3 linked regions of the Arabidopsis thaliana genome follow. The protein of the gene in region 1 interacts with the protein of each later gene in a biochemical or structural test. Each region holds a gene or a part of one and is shown in the gene's direction. Other genes may lie near its edges.

Region 1 (6,543 bases):
CTTGAAGATGAAATTGTATGGTAGCTAGAAGGAATAGAAAAAAAATTGTTTGAATTCTTTGTGCAGGCTGCCATTGTAGAAAGTCGCAGAGCTCAGGCCAGCGTTTCAGCCAAACCCATACATCAAGCAGTTCTTGTCGAACCTTTGTTGTGCAAAGTTTGCCAGATCAGCTTTACCAACAATGATACATATAAAAATCACACCTATGGAAAAAAACACCGAAACAATTTGGAACTGCAATCAGGTAAGTCCAAAAACATTTTGGTGGGACCAGCTGAGCCTTCCAAAGAGGTTCTAGAGAAACATAATATGAATAAGAAGGTGATGATTGAGAGTAGAGCTCAGGCAAACGCTGAATTCGTTTGTCTTATGTGCAATGTGGTGTGCCAGAGTCAGATTGTCTTTAATTCTCATCTGCGCGGTAAGAAGCATGCCAACATGCTGAGTCAATCAGAGGCAAGTTTCTAACTTTTGGTTATTCGAGAACTTGTTAATTTATAGCAATAGAAAATTTGACAGCTTGGTAAAACATATGCCTGACCTAAAAGCATTGGATCAGGCACTCATTGTTTCTACAAAGCTTCAAGAGAAAGGAGTCGGAGAAAAAGAACAACCAAGTGAAACAGTTGCAGAGCTTCAGTTGCAGTCTCAAAAGGCTCAAGAGAAGCAGGTTCCCATGGTGAATCAATTAGAGGCAAGTTTCTAACTTTTGGCTATTCGATTATATGGAATTTTTATTAACATCGATAAGTTGGCAGTTTGGTAAAACATATGCCTGATATTATAGCTTTGGATTAGGTACTAGTTGATTCTAAGAAGCTTCCAGAGAAAGGTGATGAAGTAAAGGGTCAACCAAAAGAAATGACTGCACTGCGTAATGCAAGTGCTAAATACATTTGTCGTATGTGCAATGTGGGGTGCCACAGTCCAATTGTCTTTGAAACTCATCTAAGGGGTCAGAAGCACGCTGCCAATCTGAATCAATCAAAGGCATGTCTCTTACTTTTGCATATTTGAGAGCATATAAAAAACTACAGTGTGGTAGACATATGCTTTATGTAATACCGTAGGATCAGGCACTCATTGATTCTAAGAAGCTTCAAGAGAAAGGTTTCGGAGAAAAAGAACAACCAAGAGAAACAATTGTAGAGCCACAGTTGCAGTCTCAAAACGCTCAAGAGAATAGCAAGTGTTTCGAAAAGCATGTTGTCATGGTGAATCAATCAGAGGTCAGTTTCTTAATATTGGTAATTTGGTATTTTAATTTACAATTTCCAGTGTAGCAAAACATATGCTGAATATGAGAGTCTTAACTGTGGTAAAATATATAAAGAATGAAGCTTATATAGTTGCATCAGGTACTCATCAATGCGAGTAAGCTTGAAGAGAAAGATGCCCAAGAAAAAGCTCAACCAATAGAATCAATAGCCGAACCTCAGTCGCAGTCTCAAAACACTCAAGAGCATACCAAATTCTTTGAGAAGCAAAACGAAGAGTTGAGAAAGATTTGTGGCACTTTAGAAAGCAGTGTAAAAGAACCTCTTCCAAGTACTAAGGACTGGGTGGAGACTCTTAACAAACAGATTCCAAATGGAGAATTTTTCTTTGGTGACCTAAGATCTGATTTTGAAGTACCCAGGGAAGCAAGGTAATTTTTGCTAACTTGGATTTGCTTGCTTAGTATGTCAAAGATGCAATTATCTAAATGTATTCTCCAACTTTTGTCATAGTGAATGTTTTGATGGCATTGTCAAGCCTGTAAACCTTTCCAAAGGAGAAACTAAGCATTCATGGGAGGTAAAGAAGAAGAAAATCGAGGTGACCGTACGCCATGCAAGACCAGCTGCATCTAAACTTTGTCATCTTTGCGTAGTGATTTGTGATAGCCGGGGTTTGTCAACAGTTGTTTGTGATAACAAAGCTCATTGGCCGAACCAAAAACATACTACTGTAGTGACACTTACTTCATGTTCTACCTCTTTATCCTTGATCAATATCAAACCCTTCTGACTTCTTATTTTTGATGTAGGCCGCCTTTGTAGCCAGCAATGGTTCTCAGTCCAGCGTTTCAACCAATCCTTTGAAGGAACCAGAGGGTTTGCAGCCCGTGTGGTGCCAAGTCTGCCAGATCAGCTGCAACAGCAAGGTTGCATTTGCAAGTCACACATATGGGAAAAAACACCGACAGAACTTGGAATCACAATCAGCCAAGAACGAAACTATGTCTACTGGACCAGGCAAGCTTTCTAAAGATTATGGAGAAAAAACGAAGAAAGTATCATGCAAAAACCAAACCACATTTGATTCTCAACTGAAGAGTCAGAACCATTATACCATGGCGAAGGAGCTTGTAGAGGTAAATCTTACTATTTAGGTTTTCTTTCGTGAACTTGGAATCTGCTTTTAGTAATGAATATTACAAATCTTAGTAAAAATAATATCCTTAGGTTTGATTCCTATCGAAAGTGATGAAGTATATATTAGACCTTAACTAAAATATCGATGTAGAAGGCATTTGTCTCCGCATTTGAGCATGTCTCCGCATTGGAGCAGTTCAGTATTGTTGACTCAAGGACAATCCGAGAAGACACCGACCAAGAAAAAGAAGCAACAAAGGAGCAGACACTTGTAAAGATGGATGGTAATGGGTTTCGAGGGGCACCAGAAGATAAAGTGGAATTGAACCAAGAAAAACATAGAGAAGCACTGGAGCAGTTCAGTATTGACTCAAGGATAATCCGAGAAGAAACCGATCAAGAAAAAGAAGCAACAGAGGAGCAGACACTTGTAAAGATGGATGATCTTGGGTTTCGAGGGGCACCAGAAGATAAAGTGGAACTGAAGGAGAGACACACCGTATCTGAGAACTTGGTGCACCGTGTCTTCACTGAACAGAATCGAGAGTCTAGAATACCCAATGAACCGAGGTAAGAGCCAACATTCATGGGAGTGTATAATATGGTCTCTCTCTCTCTCTCTTTCTCTTGAATCTCGATCAATATGTGTGTGTCTAACTGGTTGCTTGGATTTTGGGTTACAGAGGATGTTTAGATGTGATTCCTGAGAGAGTAAAACTGCCACCAAACGTGAATGTGGCCAAGAATTTGGAAGATGAGCAGAAGCATAAACCCGAACCAAAAGCACAGGAAGCCGAAAACAAGTCTGGAGGACGCAAGGATCTTCCTGGAGAGGCTGCCAAAAGGGAAGAGATTAAGGGCCAAGCTGATAACTTTTGGACTCGCCTTTGGGGGAAAAAATATTAAAATAATGTGAATTGTTAATTCATGTTTAAGTTGTCAACAATGGATGTTTTCTTTTGAATGGCAGATTAACGTTTTATTTTGGATTGGCTTTTGCTTATTTCTTACTGTTGTTTCTTATATATAAACTTTACCTCTTAAAAAAGATTCAAGAACAATAGAATTTAGGCATTGTAGTATATAGGTTCTCTCAATAAATTGGGAAATAACGACCGGTTTTTCCAACAGAATTTTCGGCTTAGTCTGTAATGTAATCATCAAAAATTGCATTATTTGCTTTACGACTACAGCTCAACTGGGCCACCCTGATTACTTATCCGACCCGGCCCGACCCATCCGGATCTTCCTTCTCTTGTTTAAATTAAAGCAGATAAAAAGGAAACTGGAAAATTCAGTTCAAGTATTGTCGTCGGAATATTACTCTTCACCGGCCAGGTAAAGCTTTCCTACGACTATGCTTGTGTTCGTCGGAATGTGTTTTTCTTTCTTTTTCTTATAGTCTCTGGTCGCTAATGACTCGTATTCTTGGTCCAGTTTTCAGCTCTTGTGTGTAAATTTGTTAGTCTTTTTTAATGTCGAGTAATTGGGGAAGTAGCTCGCGAGATAGCTCGGGAAGTAGTTCAAGAAGCGATGTTGACAACTCGTTTGATGCTGACGAACTTTTACAGATTGGTTCAAGATGTATGGAGGTGAATCTGTTTTTCTTTCTCTATATCCTTTGTCTCAGAGATTGATGAAGTTCATATTTTTGGCTTTATGATCTCATGTTTTCATTGTAATTGTAGCTACGGAGAGAAAAGGAGATGCTTAGAGAATCTCAGTCACAGAGTGTTGAACTTGTCAGAGTATGTTCCTCTTGTGTGTTTTAGACTAGTGAATTGATTGTTCAAACTTTTTCTGAGATTTGTTGTCTTTTTTTTTTTTACCCTAGAGGTTGGAACTGAATGCGAATTCGTTGTCAGAGTCTCGTTTAGAAGATAAGAGAAGAATTCAGATGTTGGAGAAAGAATTGTTGAATTGCTACCAGGAGATTGGTAATGGAGAGATTCTCATGAAACTGAAATCTAGGCATATATTTTATATGAGCTAAAAAACACTTTCTTTGTCTTTCAGATTATTTGCGGGATCAAGTAAACTTCAGAAGCCAGGAAATGAACGACCTGAGTGAACATGTACTCGATCTTGAAGTCAGAGTAACTAAATCAGGGAAATTGGAAGAAGAAGTTAACTATTTGAGGGAGGAGTTGTGTTCGTCGAAATCTGAGCAGCTATTGTTGTTGCAAGAACTGGAGAGCACAGAAACTGAGCTACAGTTTTCTTTGTTTTCTGTTGAGAAGCTGGAGGAGTCGGTCTCATCCTTAACATTGGAGTCTCAGTGTGAGATAGAAAGCATAAAACTTGATATAGTAGCGTTGGAGCAGGCGCTCTTTGATGCTCAGAAATTTCAAGGTGAAAGCATCCAAGAAAACGATAAGTTAAGAGAAATAGTCAAGGAGCTACGGTTGAACTCTCGAGAGGCAGAAGAGAATGCTGAGTGTTTAGAGAAGCAAAACAAGGAGCTGATGGAGAGATGTGTAGCCTCTGAAAGGAATATCAAAGACTTACGTCAAAGCTTTAGAGGAAGGTTGGAAAGTGAAAGTGAAGCGCCTGTAAATCCAGATTGTTTCCATGACATCATCAAGAAATTAGAGGTTTTCCAGGATGGGAAACTGAGAGACAAAATGGAAGATATGGCAAGACAGATACTTCAATACAAAGATCTTGTAAAGCAGCTCAAGGTATTAGTTACCAAACAAAACAGTAGAATCAAAAATTTGGTGCCTTTTTGCAGCGTCACACATATTCTAACTAGTTAAACCATTATTTTGTTATGCCTAAGGATGAGTTGAAAGAAGAGAAACTAAAGGCCAAGGAAGAAGCAGAGGACTTAACACAAGAAATGGCTGAATTAAGATATGAAATGACATGTTTATTGGAGGAAGAATGCAAGCGGCGTGCATGCATCGAACAAGCATCATTACAAAGAATAGCCAATCTAGAAGCACAGGTACTTGCTTCTTTATATCTTCCAATTTTTTTATTTTTTTTGAGCCATCAGATATTGTTGAAGGAACCTAACAAATATCCATTTTCTTGTTAAGATCAAGAGAGAGAAGAACAAGTCCTCAACTTGCTTAGTTCCTCTTCCTGCTGTATAAACCAGCTAAGGTTCGAGTTAAACTTGAAATCACAGTTAATGCCTCAAATAAGCCTTTAAGCTATAAGGTTTGAATTCTTATGTATTTAAAGTGTACATAATCCAATTTGATTGGAAATTGGAATATAGATTTCATCCCTGTGATTATGTTTATATATGGAAATTGAGTTTTACAAGAGTGAAACTGCTTCTTCATGTGCCTACCAAAAAAAAAAACTGCTTCTTCATGTGGCTTCTAAGTGTTTAATTACGCCTTCAGCAACATGTAGAGATCTTGAGAAATTGACATGAGTCTCTAGAGAATGTTGAAAGCTGTGGTCGTTGACCAAGAAGATTCTTACTATTTGACTCTATTTGATAGGCCTGTAATGAGCCTAGGTCAATAAGGCTGAGTTTATTTGATGGCCCGTTTTTCTCTCTTTTATTGTTCTTCTTTTTCTTGTGAAAATAAAGAAATCTGGAAGCGTTGTTGTATCATCATGTATGTGCAGAGTCTAGTAACCTTGTTGTTGATGCAAAGGGATAAATGAATGGGTCAAGGAAAAGAACCTGTTGTCTTTATTGTTAATCAAGACACTTGTAGATTTGTTGTCTAACCTAATCCAACTTGACTTTAAGCAAAAACATATTCCAACTTGTTCTTCACCAAAATGATATGTTGAAATATCGTATCTACTAGGACATCAAGATTTTGTTGTAGTCGTTATCAATGTAACCGGTAACAAATAAAAATTAATGAGATAAATTAGGCATGATCATATCCATAGATATTGTCAAACAATTTTCTATCTTCAAGTAGTTTTTGGTTTTGGGCGAAAATATGTTCTCTTTGACAAATTCAACAAAGACCATTCTTTTTGGATGACAAAATTGACAACTTACCCATTCTTTTTGGGCTCATACAATTTATCAACTAAACCATCAGTACAAAAAAAGAAGCAGAAATTAGAAAAATATAAGAAAATGACTCTTTCTCTGTAAGAAAAAATCCAACTACGTTTATTATATCCACAATTACGTCCTATATACAATTAAAAAGATCTAAATTGCTCTATTTTCGTTAGAAAGTAGTTACTTTTTACTTTT
Region 2 (9,023 bases), on another chromosome or scaffold:
CTAATTAAAAGCTTTAGTTGTTGTGTAGATCTTGAATTACCTTTTCGTCGTTGTTGTCAAGGAATCAGAGATTCAATTGGTTAAGAATCAGTCGTGAGCAAATCAGTATGGTGATCTGCGATTGTCATTACGGTGAGAAACAGAAGATTTGATTGCTCGAACTTAGTTTTCCGGTGACGATCTAAAATTCATCGGAAGTTGGATCTCTTGCGGTGGAGGTTGTGAAATCAACATGTGTCGTAATCTCATCTTTACCGTCTGACGCGTCTTGTGATATGAAGATAGTTTGCTTTGCTGTCTCTTTTCTTTCTTTGGAGGGTTTAATCTTGGGTCTATCTTTGTGGACTATATATTCGTTTTGTTAGCTCTTAAAATATTGTCTTGTAAGAATACCTTGTGCCGTAGACTTTCGATCAATAAAAAAACATTTACGAGAAAAAAATATGGGTGAATTGCAAAACTAACTGTTTTTGATAATTTATTTAAGAAACTAACACTATAATATACAAAATGTAGAAACTAACACTAGAGGGTAGTAAACTTACTAAATTAGTCTTTTTGATTGGAGATGGTAGTGGTGGTGATGGTTGTGGCCGGCGGTGGTGGATGGAGTTGATGGTGGTCGGAAGTGTTGGTGATCGGTGTGGTGGTTGCCGGCGGTGGTGGTGGTGGCCGGTGGTGGTGGTGGCCGGTGGTGGTGGTGGTGACCGGCGGGGTGATGGTCGGCGGTGGTGGTGGTGGTGGTGGTGGTGGTGGTGGTGACCGGCGGTGGTGGTGGTGGCCGGCGGTGGTGGTGGTGACCGGCGGGGTGATGGTCGGCGGTGGTGGTGGTGGTGGTGGTGGTGGTGGTGGTGACCGGCGGTGGTGGTGGTGGCCGGTGGTGGTGATGGCCGACAGTGGTGGTGGCGGTGGTGGTGGTGGCCGAAGTTGGTGGTGGCCGGAGTTGGTGGTGGCCGGATTTGATGGTGGCCGACAGTGACGGTGACCGGTGTTGGTGGTGACCGGAATAGATGGTGGCCGAAGTTGGCGGTGATGGCCGGCGGTGGTGGCAGGCAGTGGTGGCCGGCGGTGGTGGCAGGCAGTGATGGCCGGCGGTGGTGACCGGTGGTGGTGACCGGTGGTGGCCGGCGGTGGTGACCGGCGGTGGTGGCCGGCGGTGGTGGCCAGCGGTGGTGGTTGCTACTGAAGGTATTGAGGCAACAAGGGCAAATTGAGTAATATTACATATAATACAGAGAATATTATAATTACATAGTTAGGATGGTTAGTTAGTGAATTATAGTTTTTTTGTTAGTTATTTCTGCAAATTTCCCAAAAAAATATATCAATTTCCACTAATTTTTTTTATGTACATGTTGGATTCTAGAAAATCAATGAATTTAACAAAACAAATTCATGATCATCGCACAAATTGGCTAAAATATTGTTGATTTTGGAATTGGATGGAAGGTTAATTGTAGATTATAACGGAATTTAAATTGTTTGAATCTTGGAGTAACTCAAAAATATAGATCAAAATGATTACATATGGCTATGTTCTATTGCAAATCGTGAGCGACAGTTCCGACAAAAAAAATACGTCGATAGTAAAATAATTCAAAAATAATCTGTTATATTAATTTTCCATCACATATTTCCAATGCCTTGCTTAAATATATATTTTGAACTGTATAATGTTCTTATACTCTTGTTACTTACCTAGTATAATTAAGAAAAAAACAGTTAAAAGTAAGCTAACAATCCCTATTTGTAATAGAAAAAATCATATTCAAATTTTCAATTTTTTTATATAAATGCAATAATCATAATTAATTTTTTTTATATGAATTTATAATTGCCCAATTATAAATATTAAAGCGGGTTAACACAATTATACTTTAAAAAAAATTTAATTGAATAACATCAGATTCTATATTACACTTTAAGTCATTAAAACTCTTTTGAAATCATAAACCAATAACACCCTTTTACAGTTGAATTTTTTACCTTTCATGATTTTATGTAAATCAATTGTTTTTTTGAAATGAATTTTTGTAGTGGCATTTTATGTAATATTTAATATGTTGTTGGCTATTTACTTAAATGTATGTTTAGTTAATAATATAGAAATATCAAAGTTAATTGCTAAAAATATTATTAAACAAAATATAGAGAGTATATTGTAAATGATAATTCGAAAATGAAATCCATAAATTTTGTTGATCTCAATTGAATCACATCCCAGTATTAGACAAATTGGGTTTTATAAACACTAAGAAGATAAAACGGGGTCATTTCGAAACCGTAAGAAAATAGGATGATTTCTGCAAATATGGGTAATATATATGTAGAACGATAATATTAATACCAGAAACCCTAGAGTTGCTTCCGCTTCGCTTCTCGTCTCTCTTATCAGTCTTCTCTTTTCACGGCTACAAGGTTAGTCCTAAGTTTCGGCTCTGTTCTTGCATCAGTGATTGGATCTCTACTGCCTTTTAATCAAATCTCATTGAATTGATCTGGGTTAGGGTTTGGGTCAGGTTATCGAATCTTTCTGTGTTATTTTGATTCTATGAAATGAATTTAGGGTTTGGGCAAGTTTTTTCTGGTCTATGTAGCTTCCATCCTTTTCTGAGATATCTGATTGGGTTTTTCGGATTCTGGTGATCTCTGTAACAAAATCGCTTCTCTGTGTTTTTCAGGCTAATTGAGAGTGTCCCTTGCGTTAGAGTTTGTTACTAGCTTTTTTCGTCTGAAACATGGCGAATTTTGCCAAACCAGAGAACGCGTTGAAGCGTGCTGATGGTAAGTTACGAAATGTTTTCGTTTTAACATCCATTTGGTCAAATGGATGTGGTTAGGGTGTGTATGAATTGAGATTGTGTTAAACACTTTTTTTTTGTGTGTGTAGAATTGATCAATGTTGGACAGAAACAAGATGCTCTTCAGGCGCTTCATGATCTCATTACTTCCAAGAGATACAGAGCTTGGCAGAAACCGCTTGAGAAGATCATGTTTAAGTATCTTGATCTTTGTGTTGACTTGAAGAGGGGTCGATTCGCTAAGGATGGATTGATTCAGTATCGTATTGTTTGCCAGCAAGTGAATGTCAGTTCCTTGGAGGAAGTTATCAAGCACTTCCTACATCTTGCTACTGACAAAGCTGAGCAAGCTCGGTCTCAGGCGGATGCCCTTGAGGAGGCTCTTGATGTTGATGACCTTGAAGCTGATAGGAAGCCTGAGGATTTACAGCTAAGTATTGTCAGTGGGGAGAAGGGAAAAGATAGGTCTGACCGTGAGTTGGTCACCCCATGGTTTAAGTTTCTGTGGGAGACATACAGGACAGTCCTTGAGATATTGCGAAACAACTCAAAGTTGGAAGCACTTTATGCGGTTTGTTTTCTTCTAGGTTAAGCTTATTGGTGATACCTCTGATTTTAAGTTGATTGAGATTGAAGACTTGTACTTTATAATCTTGTAGATGACAGCACATAAAGCCTTCCAGTTCTGTAAGCAGTACAAGCGAACAACAGAGTTCCGTAGGCTTTGTGAAATTATAAGAAATCATTTGGCAAACCTGAACAAGTACAGAGACCAAAGGGACCGACCTGACTTATCAGCCCCTGAGAGCTTGCAGCTGTATCTGGACACAAGGTTTGATCAGTTGAAAGTTGCTACTGAGCTTGGACTTTGGCAGGTGCGTTTTTGTTTTCTATGTGTATTTTTCTGATGCTACCTTCTCTATTCCATATTTAGTTTGGCTGTATATAGCTTATCCTCTGTATAATTACTGGAAATAAGTTAGTATGGTTCGTGATGTATCTTTGCAGGAAGCTTTTCGCTCTGTTGAAGATATCTATGGATTAATGTGCATGGTCAAAAAAACGCCCAAGTCATCTTTATTGATGGTTTATTATTCCAAATTGACTGAGATCTTCTGGATTTCTTCTAGCCATCTTTATCATGCTTATGCATGGTTTAAGCTGTTTAGTCTGCAGAAAAATTTCAACAAGAATTTAAGCCAAAAGGATTTGCAGCTAATAGCGTCATCTGTTGTCTTGGCGGCATTGTCCATTCCACCATTTGATCGGGCTCAGAGCGCATCCCATATGGAACTTGAAAATGAGAAAGAACGCAATTTGAGGATGGCTAACCTCATTGGATTCAATCTTGAACCTAAATTTGAGGGCAAAGATATGGTAACATAGGTTCTTATGTTGCTTCATTTTTATTTTGCGCCCTTTCTTTCTGGTTTAGTATTCTAATTCCATTTCCTTCCTGTTTCAGCTTTCCCGGTCAGCTCTTCTGTCAGAGCTGGTGAGTCTCTAGCTGTTACCCTGTCTGTGGTTTAGAATATTTGTCGACTTACAAATATCTGATTTGGAGGCTGATTTTTATGCAATTAGGTTTCAAAAGGTGTTTTGAGCTGTGCATCTCAGGAGGTCAAAGATCTTTTCCATGTTTTGGAGCATGAATTTCACCCACTTGATCTTGGCTCCAAGATTCAGCCTTTGCTGGAAAAGATTTCCAAATCTGGTGGGAAACTGTCCTCAGCTCCTTCTTTACCAGAAGTGCAACTTTCCCAATATGTTCCTTCTCTGGAGAAGCTTGCTACTCTGAGGCTACTTCAACAGGTAAGCCTTGTTCTCTATGTTGTAGGTCAATACCCATTCAACCATTTTGGATTTTTCTGGTGGTTTATCCCTTTTTCTGCATACTAAATGTTCTATGTTCCGATTTTATTTTCAGGTGTCTAAGATTTATCAGACAATAAGAATTGAGAGTTTATCTCAGTTGGTACCCTTCTTTCAATTCTCAGAGGTAGAGAAGATTTCTGTTGATGCTGTGAAGAACAATTTTGTTGCCATGAAAGTTGATCACATGAAGGGTGTTGTAATTTTTGGAAATTTGGTAAGCCTCTGTTAAAGCTTCAGCTCAACACTGATTATATCATATGTAGTTGAGTAATATAATTTTTAACTTATTGACTAAATACTAATCTATTTGATCAACTGTTTGTATATTAGGGTATTGAGTCTGATGGACTGAGGGATCATCTGGCTGTTTTTGCCGAGTCTTTGAGCAAAGTAAGAGCTATGCTGTATCCTGTCCCAAGTAAAGCATCAAAACTAGCTGGCGTTATACCAAATTTAGCAGATACTGTTGAGAAAGAGCACAAAAGACTGCTTGCTCGTAAATCAATCATTGAAAAGAGGAAGGAGGATCAAGAGCGTCAGCAACTAGAAATGGTAGTTACTTTTCCATGGTTATTTGCACAGCTCTCCTTTTACGCTGTACCTGTTTATGAAAATTCCTTTATTTGATGTTTACTTTTGAAGGAACGTGAAGAGGAGCAGAAACGGCTTAAGCTTCAGAAGCTAACTGAAGAGGCAGAACAAAAGAGACTTGCAGCAGAGCTTGCAGAGAGAAGAAAACAAAGAATCCTTAGAGAGATAGAGGAGAAGGAGCTTGAAGAAGCCCAAGCTTTACTGGAAGAGACAGAGAAGCGCATGAAAAAGGGAAAGAAGAAGCCACTTTTAGACGGAGTAAGTTTACCAATATGTTAGCTATTATATAGTTCACTGATTAACTTATTACTAATGTCGGTTGGGTTAAACTAAATATAGGAGAAGGTGACAAAGCAATCTGTGAAGGAAAGGGCCTTAACTGAGCAGCTCAAGGAAAGGCAAGAAATGGAGAAGAAGCTTCAAAAGCTTGCCAAAACGATGGATTATTTGGAAAGAGCAAAGAGAGAAGAGGCTGCTCCATTGATTGAAGCTGCATATCAGCGAAGACTGGTAGAGGAAAGAGAGTTTTATGAGCGTGAACAACAGGTACTTACTGTTTCAGTAGTTTTTCTTTTCTTACAACTTGGTTCTGTGTTGGAAGTATATGAGGTCTTAAAAGCTCTTCTCCTATGCAGCGTGAAGTTGAACTCAGTAAAGAGCGTCATGAGAGTGACTTGAAGGAGAAGAACAGGTTGTCCAGAATGTTGGGTAATAAGGTCAGTCTTTGACATGTCATGTTGTTTCTCTTAATGTTCATCTTTGATCTGAATCTCTTTTCGTTATTGAATTAATTTTAAAGCTCTCTAGTTTCTTACATTTTTCCTGTAACTTTTCCTTCCAATGTACTTATAATCGAATCTTTCTGTGCCCAGGAAATATTCCAAGCACAAGTGATTAGTCGTCGACAAGCAGAGTTTGACAGAATCAGGACGGAGAGAGAGGAGCGTATCAGTAAAATAATCCGAGAGAAGAAGCAAGAAAGGGATATCAAGAGGAAGCAGATATATTATTTGAAAATTGAAGAAGAAAGGATTAGGAAGCTGCAGGAAGAAGAGGAAGCTCGCAAGCAGGAAGGTGTGGACTTGCTTCCATAAATCCACATCATTTTGACTTTGATATTGAAGTTTTTCTTAATAACCCCTTGTTTCTGTTTATTTTTTGGGTTTTCCTCTAATGTAGAAGCTGAGAGGCTCAAGAAGGTAGAAGCTGAACGCAAAGCAAACTTGGATAAAGCTTTTGAGAAGCAAAGGCAGAGAGAGATAGAGCTGGAAGAGAAAAGTAGGCGGGAACGAGAAGAGCTGTTGAGAGGAACTAATGCACCACCTGCTCGCCTTGCAGAGCCTACTGTTACTCCTGTTGGAACTACCGCACCAGCAGCAGCAGCAGCAGCAGCAGGAGCACCAGCAGCACCTTATGTTCCGAAGTGGAAGCGCCAGACTACTGAGGTCTCAGGCCCATCAGCACCAACATCATCAGAAACTGACCGACGGTCCAACCGTGGGCCGCCTCCCGGAGATGACCACTGGGGAAGCAACAGAGGAGCCGCTCAGAATACTGACCGGTGGACTAGTAATAGGGAAAGATCTGGACCTCCAGCTGAAGGAGGAGACCGTTGGGGTTCTGGTCCTAGAGGCAGTGATGATCGCCGATCCACATTTGGAAGCTCCAGGCCCAGGCCAACACAGCGTTGAGTAATAATAATTTTTTTGGTCTCAATCTCCATGGGAATGAATGAAAAAGGTTATCTCTGGATTTTCAACATCACAGCACTCTTCTTTAGCCCAAACCTGTCTCTTCTTCTTTTGAAGATTGCTCATCTTTTATAAGTTTTTATGAAAGATTTTAAAACATGTTAGACTCGTTTTTTGCTCTACACACCCAGAGAGAGTTGTTATTTCCTTCTTCGGTTGGATCTTTCTTTGTTTGTCCAATTTATTTCCAACTTTCTGCTGTAAAAACCTTTGACATTGATCAGCTTCTCTTTCAAGCAAACTTTTTGTTAATTGCTTATTATTAGTTTATGAAGAACAATAAACGAATACCAAATTTCACATTTAACAACATTTGTATCAAAAATGTAAATAGTGTATACAAACATCTTTATTCTTATCTCTGGATTAAGGAAGAAAACAAATGAAACTGTAATTAATACTTTTATACGAGATTCTTCAGTGCCTTGTTTTGAGAACAGAGCATGGGCACATTGCAAAAGCTCTCGGAAAAAGAAATTTTATAATTGGTCAACTTTACTAGGGTGTGTGTTTGATCATCAGCTAGCGTTGGTTTGGTTGAGATTAGACTTTAATTTTGTGGTACAGAAGATAGAAACAAAACAAACATGTGGCCTTTTTGGTGGAAAGGAGCATCTGGGTTCTCTGCTCGTTCCACAGCTGAAGAAGTCACTCATGGAATCGATGGTACTGGTCTCACTGCTATCGTCACAGGTCCTCTTCTTCTTCTTCTTCTTCTTCTTCTTCTTCTTCTTCGTGCAGATGTTTTCAACTTTTTTATGATCTATGTTCAGTCTATAGTTTAATTTCTTGGTTTTGATCCTGCCCTTGAACTCAAGTTGTTGTTGGTATCTGTTAATGGACTAAAGGATTAAACTTTATCAGGCTTGTTAAGAACACATCTTGAAGCAAAGGAGAAGATTTTGCTGGTTTTTGATGTATATGTTTTATTTGATTTCAGGAGCATCAAGTGGTATTGGGGAAGAGACTACTCGTGTTCTTGCTCTTCGTGGTGTTCATGTTGTAATGGCGGTAAGGAATACAGATTCTGGTAATCAAGTCAGAGATAAGATACTTAAGGAAATACCTCAGGCTAAGATTGATGTAATGAAGTTGGATCTTAGCTCTATGGCTTCTGTCAGGAGCTTTGCATCAGAGTATCAGTCTTTGGACCTTCCCTTGAATCTTCTCATGTAAAGTCTCTCTAAGTTTGTAGTTTGTTTCAGTAATTGCTGGATTAGTGAATGTTAATATGTGTTAGTCGGCTTAATCTTTGTTCTTGTTTTTGTAGCAATAATGCGGGGATTATGGCATGTCCCTTCTTGCTTTCTAGCGACAACATTGAATTACAGTTTGCAACCAATCATTTGGGTATGTTTAGTTTAGAAGAACTTATGATCTCCTCCCTTTTTGCTTCTTTGTTTGAACTTTTGCTTCATCGTTTGAAGTATGATGAGGAACATTTTCTATGTTATAAGGTTTATGTTTTGTACAATGCTTCAGGTCATTTTCTGTTGACAAACCTTCTTTTGGAGAGGATGAAGAAAACAGCTAGTGAAAGCAATAGAGAAGGAAGAATTGTTATTGTCTCATCAGAAGGTCATCGATTTGCTTACCGGGAAGGTGTTCAGTTTGACAAAATAAATGATGAAGCAAGGTGATTGTTATGTGATAGTATTGTTTATTACTTTTGAGTTCTAGTGTAGTAAACTAATAACATACTGCTATTGCTCTCACTGTTTCTCTACAGGTACAATACTTTGCAAGCATATGGTCAGTCAAAGCTCGGTAACATCTTGCACGCTACTGAGCTCGCTAGGCTATTCAAGGTAAGATAGTATTTCGCAGTTGATTCGTAGTCAATTCCAAAGGTCAAAGAGAAAGCTAGAGGAGTTAGGTTTGGTTCATCTTTGTTTTGCTTAAAACAGGAACAAGGTGTGAATATCACTGCTAATTCACTTCATCCTGGATCCATTATGACCAATCTTTTACGCTACCACAGCTTCATAAATAGTAAATCCTCTTT
Region 3 (5,816 bases), on another chromosome or scaffold:
GAGTTCGTCATCCGACAAAAGAAGTACCAATCTTAGATTATGATCTTGCTCTTCTCTTTCAACCAATGCTTCTTCTCGGTATCACTGTTGGTGTTTCTCTCAGTGTTGTGTTCCCTTATTGGCTCATTACTGTCCTCATCATCATTCTTTTCGTCGGTACTTCTTCGAGATCTTTTTTTAAAGGCATTGAGATGTGGAAGGAAGAGACATTGTTAAAGGTTAGTTTTATCTTCCATCATAAGTTGTGGCTTTTATGTTGTGTGAGTGTGATACTGAATGTTTTATGTGGCTTTTCTTAAACAGAACGAAATGGCGCAGCAACGAGCTAATATGGTTAATTCCCGGGGAGAACGTGTGTAAAGCTTCATACTTTTGATTCCTTTAGTCATGTTTCTTGATCTTAAACTGACCACATTGTTGATTCTCTTGTTCAGTTTTAATCGATACAGAGTATGAGCCGCTTTACCCGAGAGAAGAAAAATCAGAGCTGGTAAGAGTGTATGCAAGATGATTTTCTTAACTTATTGGCTCTTCAGACTTGCATAAAGATTTAAAAACTTACAGGAAATAATACGCTCCAACCTCAAATGGAAAGGGCTTCTAATTCTAGTAACTGTGTGGTTGACTTTCTTGCTCATTCAAATTGTCAAGGCAAGTAATCTTCTTCTTCGTCTAAGCATTCTCAATAATCTTTATGTTGAGCTCTCATCAATGGAACTCGTGGGTTTATACAGAACGAAATAAAGGTCTGCAGCACAATATATTGGATACTATTCATCGTACAGGTAACATATATATGTCGCAGATAACCTTTGATTATGTTTTGTGCTCTCGCTAAATCAAGTCATTCGGAACAATTTTCCCTTTGTAGTTCCCAGTTGCTTTAGCGGTGTTTGGGTTTGAAGCAAGCAAATTGTATACAGCGAACAAAAAGAGGTTAAACAGTGGCAACACTGAATGTATCTGTGAAGCTACGATTGAGTGGACTCCTCTGAGTCTAATCTTCTGTGGTCTCTGTGGTCTCATTGGAGGTATCGTAGGTGGTCTCCTTGGATCCGGTGGTGGATTTGTTCTCGGGCCTTTGCTTCTTGAGATTGGAGTCATCCCACAGGTAAACACACCATCTTATCAGTATATATGATTGTAAAACCCATAATCATTCATCTTGTGTCTTTCATTTTTATCTAACGGTTAAAACACAGGTTGCTAGCGCAACAGCTACCTTTGTGATGATGTTTTCTTCGTCCTTATCCGTAGTCGAGTTCTATCTCCTCAAGAGATTCCCAATACCATACGGTAAGATCTCTAACACACAACATGAGATACATTTAGAAGTCGTAGCAGAATAAAAAGGAAACTGATGATTGACCTTTGTTTCATTGACAGCAATGTACTTGATTTCGGTATCGATTCTTGCCGGTTTTTGGGGACAATCCTTTATAAGAAAGCTCGTGGCGATCCTGAGAAGAGCTTCCATAATCGTTTTCGTTCTCTCAGGAGTCATTTGTGCAAGTGCTCTCACAATGGGAGTGATTGGGATAGAGAAGAGCATAAAGATGATACATAACCATGAATTCATGGGATTCTTAGGATTCTGCAGCAGTCAATGAATCAACCATCTATCTGAACAAAAATTTCAAGTGTTTTGTTTTCATTTACTGGACAATTTCGGTTGTCCAACACCATTATTGTGAGAAGTTATAAAATTAGATTGTTTTACTTGCAGTCCAAGTCATTTGTGCTCTGTTCTTGGTCAATACATAGTTGACCATCTTCAGAAATAGAGTTTGTCTAAATTGTTGTCATTGTGTTTTGCTTGTATTCAAACGTTGTATTATTATTTGCGAGACGATAGATAAAATAAAAATGGAAGTCTTTTTCTATTCACATCTTCAATGTAACTACAACAAGAAAACAGAACATGTTTTGGTAATCTTTCTAATTGGAGGAAGGAGGGCAATTGATTTGGACTTGGCTAAGATTGTTGAACAACAAAGGCAACTTTGAGACAGTTGACTAAAGAAAAAGACATCTTCAGACAAATCTAACCACAACATCGTCTTCCCACTTGAGTGATTAAATTTTATAAGCATTTAAGTATTGTGGTTCCAAAAGTTTTGTCAACCAATGATAAGAGAGATTGCAATGGAATGATTCGCGGATCATCTTGGTCCATATACCATTTTAGCCGTGAGTTTTTTTCTTGGAATTTATGTATAGTTTTGTGATATATTGTTCGTGGTTAAACGTCAAATTCGAAACAAACAAAAAATGATGCATGTGAGATATGGAAGTCCAAGCCAAACAACATTTGGTCCTATTAAGACTGTACTAACTATCATTTTTTATTTATTAGAGGCCATCAAATCTTTGTGTAATGGGTTTTTAACTAAAACATTTCTTTCATGGGCCAAGACATTTAATTTCGGCTAAAAGGCCCATTAAACTCCTCCAAAACTAGGGCTCAGGCGAATTCATCTGCCTTAAATAGATTCGTAATTCTAGAAAACAGATTTTTTAGGGTTTCAAGTGAAAAGAGTAATAGCGCGGCGGAGCCATGGTTCTCAAGTAATCAATCTCTTCTCTATATCTCTCTTCTCCATGCTTCTCTGTTCATAGGTTTACATTGTTGCTAATGATCCATGTGAATATTGCTACTGTTGAAAATGCCAATTTGCTAAAATGAGCTTCTTTTGGTTCAAATCTGTTTATTTCCCGATCAGAAATGTCTGCAAATTGTGATTTTCTGGTACGAGATATGGCTTGTGTTCGGCAATAACTAGATCTTATTGTTTCCCTTCACTTTGCAACATTTTTGTTTGTAATTCTGTACATTGAATTAATTGTGTTTGGTCTCTGTTTCAAATCATTGTGACTCTTGTGAATCGTATTGTTTCTCTCATTGGGCAGATATCTAATTAGCCATTTACTAGTTCTGCTTTTAGGACATTGTAAAATGAGATGGCTTTGAATGTGTGTCCTGTGACTGTTTGTGATTGTGACCAGGGTTGGTTTTGGATTATCACTAAACCATTGATTATCTTTGTATTGTAGGACTGAGCTTTGCCGATTCAGTGGCCAGAAAATTTACCCTGGTAGAGGGATCAGATTTATCCGATCGGACTCTCAGGTACTTTATTTTGGTTAAATGTGTGCTCTACTTGTTAAGAAGAGTCTTATCTGTTGTTACTATGTATCTGTATTGATTAAATCATCTTTGGTTTTTATGGTTGTATTAGGTGTTTTTGTTTCTCAACTCCAAATGTAAGAGGTATTTCCACAACAAGTTGAAGCCATCTAAGCTTTGCTGGACTGCTATGTACCGAAAGCAGCACAAGAAGGTAATGTTTCTTTTTTTAGTTGCTTCTTGTTTTCATGATTTAGTACTATTGAATTCTGTTGTGATCTTTGTTTTCTCTCTTCTTACAGGACGCAGCACAAGAGGCTGTGAAGAGAAGGAGACGTGCAACTAAGAAGCCTTACTCAAGGTCGATTGTCGGTGCTACTTTGGAGGTTATTCAGAAGAAGCGAGCAGAGAAGCCTGAAGTTCGTGATGCCGCTAGAGAAGCTGCCCTACGGTTTGTTTCTTTCCCGAAGACAGTCACTATATACATCAATTTTTTTTTGAAACTGAAATGTGATTGATTCAAAGCTAATCTGATGATTATGCAGTGAGATCAAGGAGAGAATCAAGAAGACCAAGGACGAGAAGAAGGCAAAGAAGGTCGAGTATGCATCAAAGCAACAGAAGTCACAAGTGAAGGGAAATATCCCCAAGAGTGCTGCACCCAAGGCTGCTAAGATGGGTGGTGGTGGAGGCAGACGTTGAATGGAGCTATAGAGTAGCCCACTCTTCTCTCTTCACTTATCTTTCTTTCTTGTTTTGACATTGTTTTGTTTTGTCAGCCATTTTTTAGTTTTGCACCAGATCTAATATATTCAGTTTATGAAAACTTTTTGTTTGGTATCAATCCCCTTGTGTTTTACTCGTAGATCCAAAAACTGCTAAATAGAATTTTCAACTTGGCTTATTCTAGGACATTATTAGTGGTCTGAGCTAAATTGAGCTTTGGTTAAGCATTGATTATGGATCTAGAGTTCTTGAATCACGATGTTTCTTCATTAACTTCAACTTAGTAAAGAACCCTTTACACGAAAATCACTTAAACAATACTTAATACAAAGGAAAACAGAATCAGCCATAGAAATTGTTGCTTGTTTGGGACTAAAGCTACAAATTTGAGCCATTTTGGAGATATAACTGAAGTGGAACTTATATACTATTGCCTCAGCTGCAGGCTTTTTCCCAGGTTTGTTTCTTCTTGCATGAACTATCCTCTCTTATCATTGATTTCAGTTGTATTAGCTGTTGAAACAAAGTGAAAGTAACTCAATGGATTGTAACTCGAAAGCTTATTTATTAAGTTAGTATTGATCACTGGAGTAATTACCTCTTCTTGTAGCAATTCCTTTTCTCTAGAGACAATATCAAACTCTTGTCTTAGTGATTCATAGAGATGCTCAAGTTGTTTGTTCTTCCACCTGGCTTTCCTGTTCTGGAACCAAACCGCAATCTGTCTCGGCTGCAGCCCCAGTTCTTTGGACAGCTTCATCTTCCTGTCCGGATTCAGCTTCATCTTCCTGTCCGGATTCAGCTTTATCTCTTCTTGGAAACTTCTCTCGAGGAACTTTAGCTGCTCGCTCGTCATCTTCTTTTTTTTCTTCTCCTGTCCATTAAAACTGTTGCTTTCTTCTCCATAGCCACTCTCTACCATTGCTAGAGGAACATGAAGTATATCTTGTTGTGCACCCATCATTGTACCTAAACATCTGTTGTCTTGGTTTCCTACAAATTCAATACAAGACAGAGAGAGACTTGTAAAGCGACATACAGTTGAGTGAATGATTAAGCATTAAGCATATAAACTAGCTCTACTAAAACCTAGTACTATGGATGCATGTTACCTGAAAAATGGTCAAAGTTATAGAAAGGAGAGATGAAGCTGGAAGAAGACGCGCCATCGATGAAGGAGCTGCTCCAATATTCCATCTTCTCTTCTTCTTTTTTTTTACCTCTTTTGTCTATCTCTGCTTACAACAATCACTTTCAAGAGACTATTTTTTACCTAAACAAGGAAATGAGCAACTTTGGGTGTTTGATATGGGTGTATCTTTATCACTATATGCATATGTTAGAACATGCAGGAACATTATATATAGATAAGTAAATGTGGTTGAAAACGCTAGGGCTTCTGTTTTTAACTTCGGGTAACTAATTGGTCACTATCAAGTAAGATAAATATATGTGTAAATGAATGGTTTCATTAGTCTGACCGGTAACAAATAGTACTCCGAACGATGAGGGTAAGAATAGGCGGTGTTGAGCAAATGCATTATACGATACAAAACGAGCTAAAAAAAGTTAATGGTGATTATTTAGTTTGAAATTTTTGTTAAAAATTGATTATTATTCTCATATTCTCACATGACCTTGTATGTTTCCATAAGTAAGATATTTACATAAGTAATAACGTAGGTATTTCGTATTATACGTGACCAATTAATGTGGATTTTAGTATATATAAAAGAATAAAATAAAATGAAAGTAATGTGAGTTGAGAAAGGAACAGTAAGAGTAAGAGATAGAGGTGAAAAAGAAAAGAGAGAATGGTCCAGATTCTACATTTGTACAAATGTCTATCACTTTCTCTACCTTAATTAACCAACCAATCTGACATATATGAATTCAAACTTCTACTCTCAATCTGTAATATAGCCTCCAGTTTTCATCTCTTTGTATGTATATGTATTTGTAA

What was found. The genes of interacting proteins can lie anywhere in the genome.
Region 2: the proteins of AT5G61200 (region 1) and EIF3A form a complex in vitro, tested with the Arabidopsis thaliana proteins (one study listed by BioGRID).
Region 3: the proteins of AT5G61200 (region 1) and RPL24A form a complex in vitro, tested with the Arabidopsis thaliana proteins (one study listed by BioGRID).

Annotation. Positions count from the first base shown.
Region 1 is NC_003076.8:24,616,624-24,623,166, forward strand, and holds AT5G61200 (myosin heavy chain-like protein), read left to right. Parts: upstream 1-3,520; 5' UTR 3,521-3,695; intron 3,696-3,762; exon of another isoform or gene 3,763-3,794; 5' UTR 3,795-3,832; coding exon 3,833-3,949; intron 3,950-4,045; coding exon 4,046-4,105; intron 4,106-4,191; coding exon 4,192-4,294; exon of another isoform or gene 4,295-4,373; coding exon 4,374-5,038; intron 5,039-5,139; coding exon 5,140-5,307; coding exon of another isoform or gene 5,308-5,400; exon of another isoform or gene 5,401-5,401; coding exon 5,402-5,458; 3' UTR 5,459-6,043; downstream 6,044-6,543. Other genes in the region: AT5G61190 (putative endonuclease or glycosyl hydrolase with C2H2-type zinc finger domain-containing protein), read left to right, coding at 67-456, 560-694, 799-990, 1,071-1,229, 1,350-1,648, 1,731-1,950, 2,030-2,356, 2,509-2,927 and 1 more.
Region 2 is NC_003075.7:6,945,769-6,954,791, reverse strand, and holds EIF3A (eukaryotic translation initiation factor 3A), read left to right. Parts: upstream 1-2,312; 5' UTR 2,313-2,418; intron 2,419-2,681; 5' UTR 2,682-2,738; coding exon 2,739-2,784; intron 2,785-2,890; coding exon 2,891-3,372; intron 3,373-3,460; coding exon 3,461-3,676; intron 3,677-3,809; coding exon 3,810-4,178; intron 4,179-4,266; coding exon 4,267-4,296; intron 4,297-4,385; coding exon 4,386-4,613; intron 4,614-4,728; coding exon 4,729-4,890; intron 4,891-5,006; coding exon 5,007-5,228; intron 5,229-5,318; coding exon 5,319-5,525; intron 5,526-5,606; coding exon 5,607-5,813; intron 5,814-5,902; coding exon 5,903-5,983; intron 5,984-6,139; coding exon 6,140-6,341; intron 6,342-6,446; coding exon 6,447-6,958; 3' UTR 6,959-7,316; downstream 7,317-9,023. Other genes in the region: AT4G11430 (hydroxyproline-rich glycoprotein family protein), read right to left, coding at 550-1,179, 1,964-1,993; AT4G11410 (NAD(P)-binding Rossmann-fold superfamily protein), read left to right, coding at 7,606-7,711, 7,959-8,190, 8,289-8,368, 8,501-8,654, 8,748-8,826, 8,926-9,010. UniProt on the Arabidopsis thaliana protein: RNA-binding component of the eukaryotic translation initiation factor 3 (eIF-3) complex, which is involved in protein synthesis of a specialized repertoire of mRNAs and, together with other initiation factors, stimulates binding of mRNA and methionyl-tRNAi to the 40S ribosome.
Region 3 is NC_003071.7:15,348,561-15,354,376, reverse strand, and holds RPL24A (ribosomal protein L24), read left to right. Parts: upstream 1-2,363; 5' UTR 2,364-2,557; coding exon 2,558-2,568; intron 2,569-3,054; coding exon 3,055-3,130; intron 3,131-3,239; coding exon 3,240-3,341; intron 3,342-3,429; coding exon 3,430-3,578; intron 3,579-3,672; coding exon 3,673-3,829; 3' UTR 3,830-4,109; downstream 4,110-5,816. Other genes in the region: AT2G36630 (Sulfite exporter TauE/SafE family protein), read left to right, coding at 1-218, 304-352, 435-490, 565-651, 735-785, 872-1,111, 1,203-1,296, 1,387-1,610; HB22 (homeobox protein 22), read right to left, coding at 4,289-4,366, 4,452-4,846, 4,966-5,050. UniProt on the Arabidopsis thaliana protein: Might have an extraribosomal function in reinitiation of translation.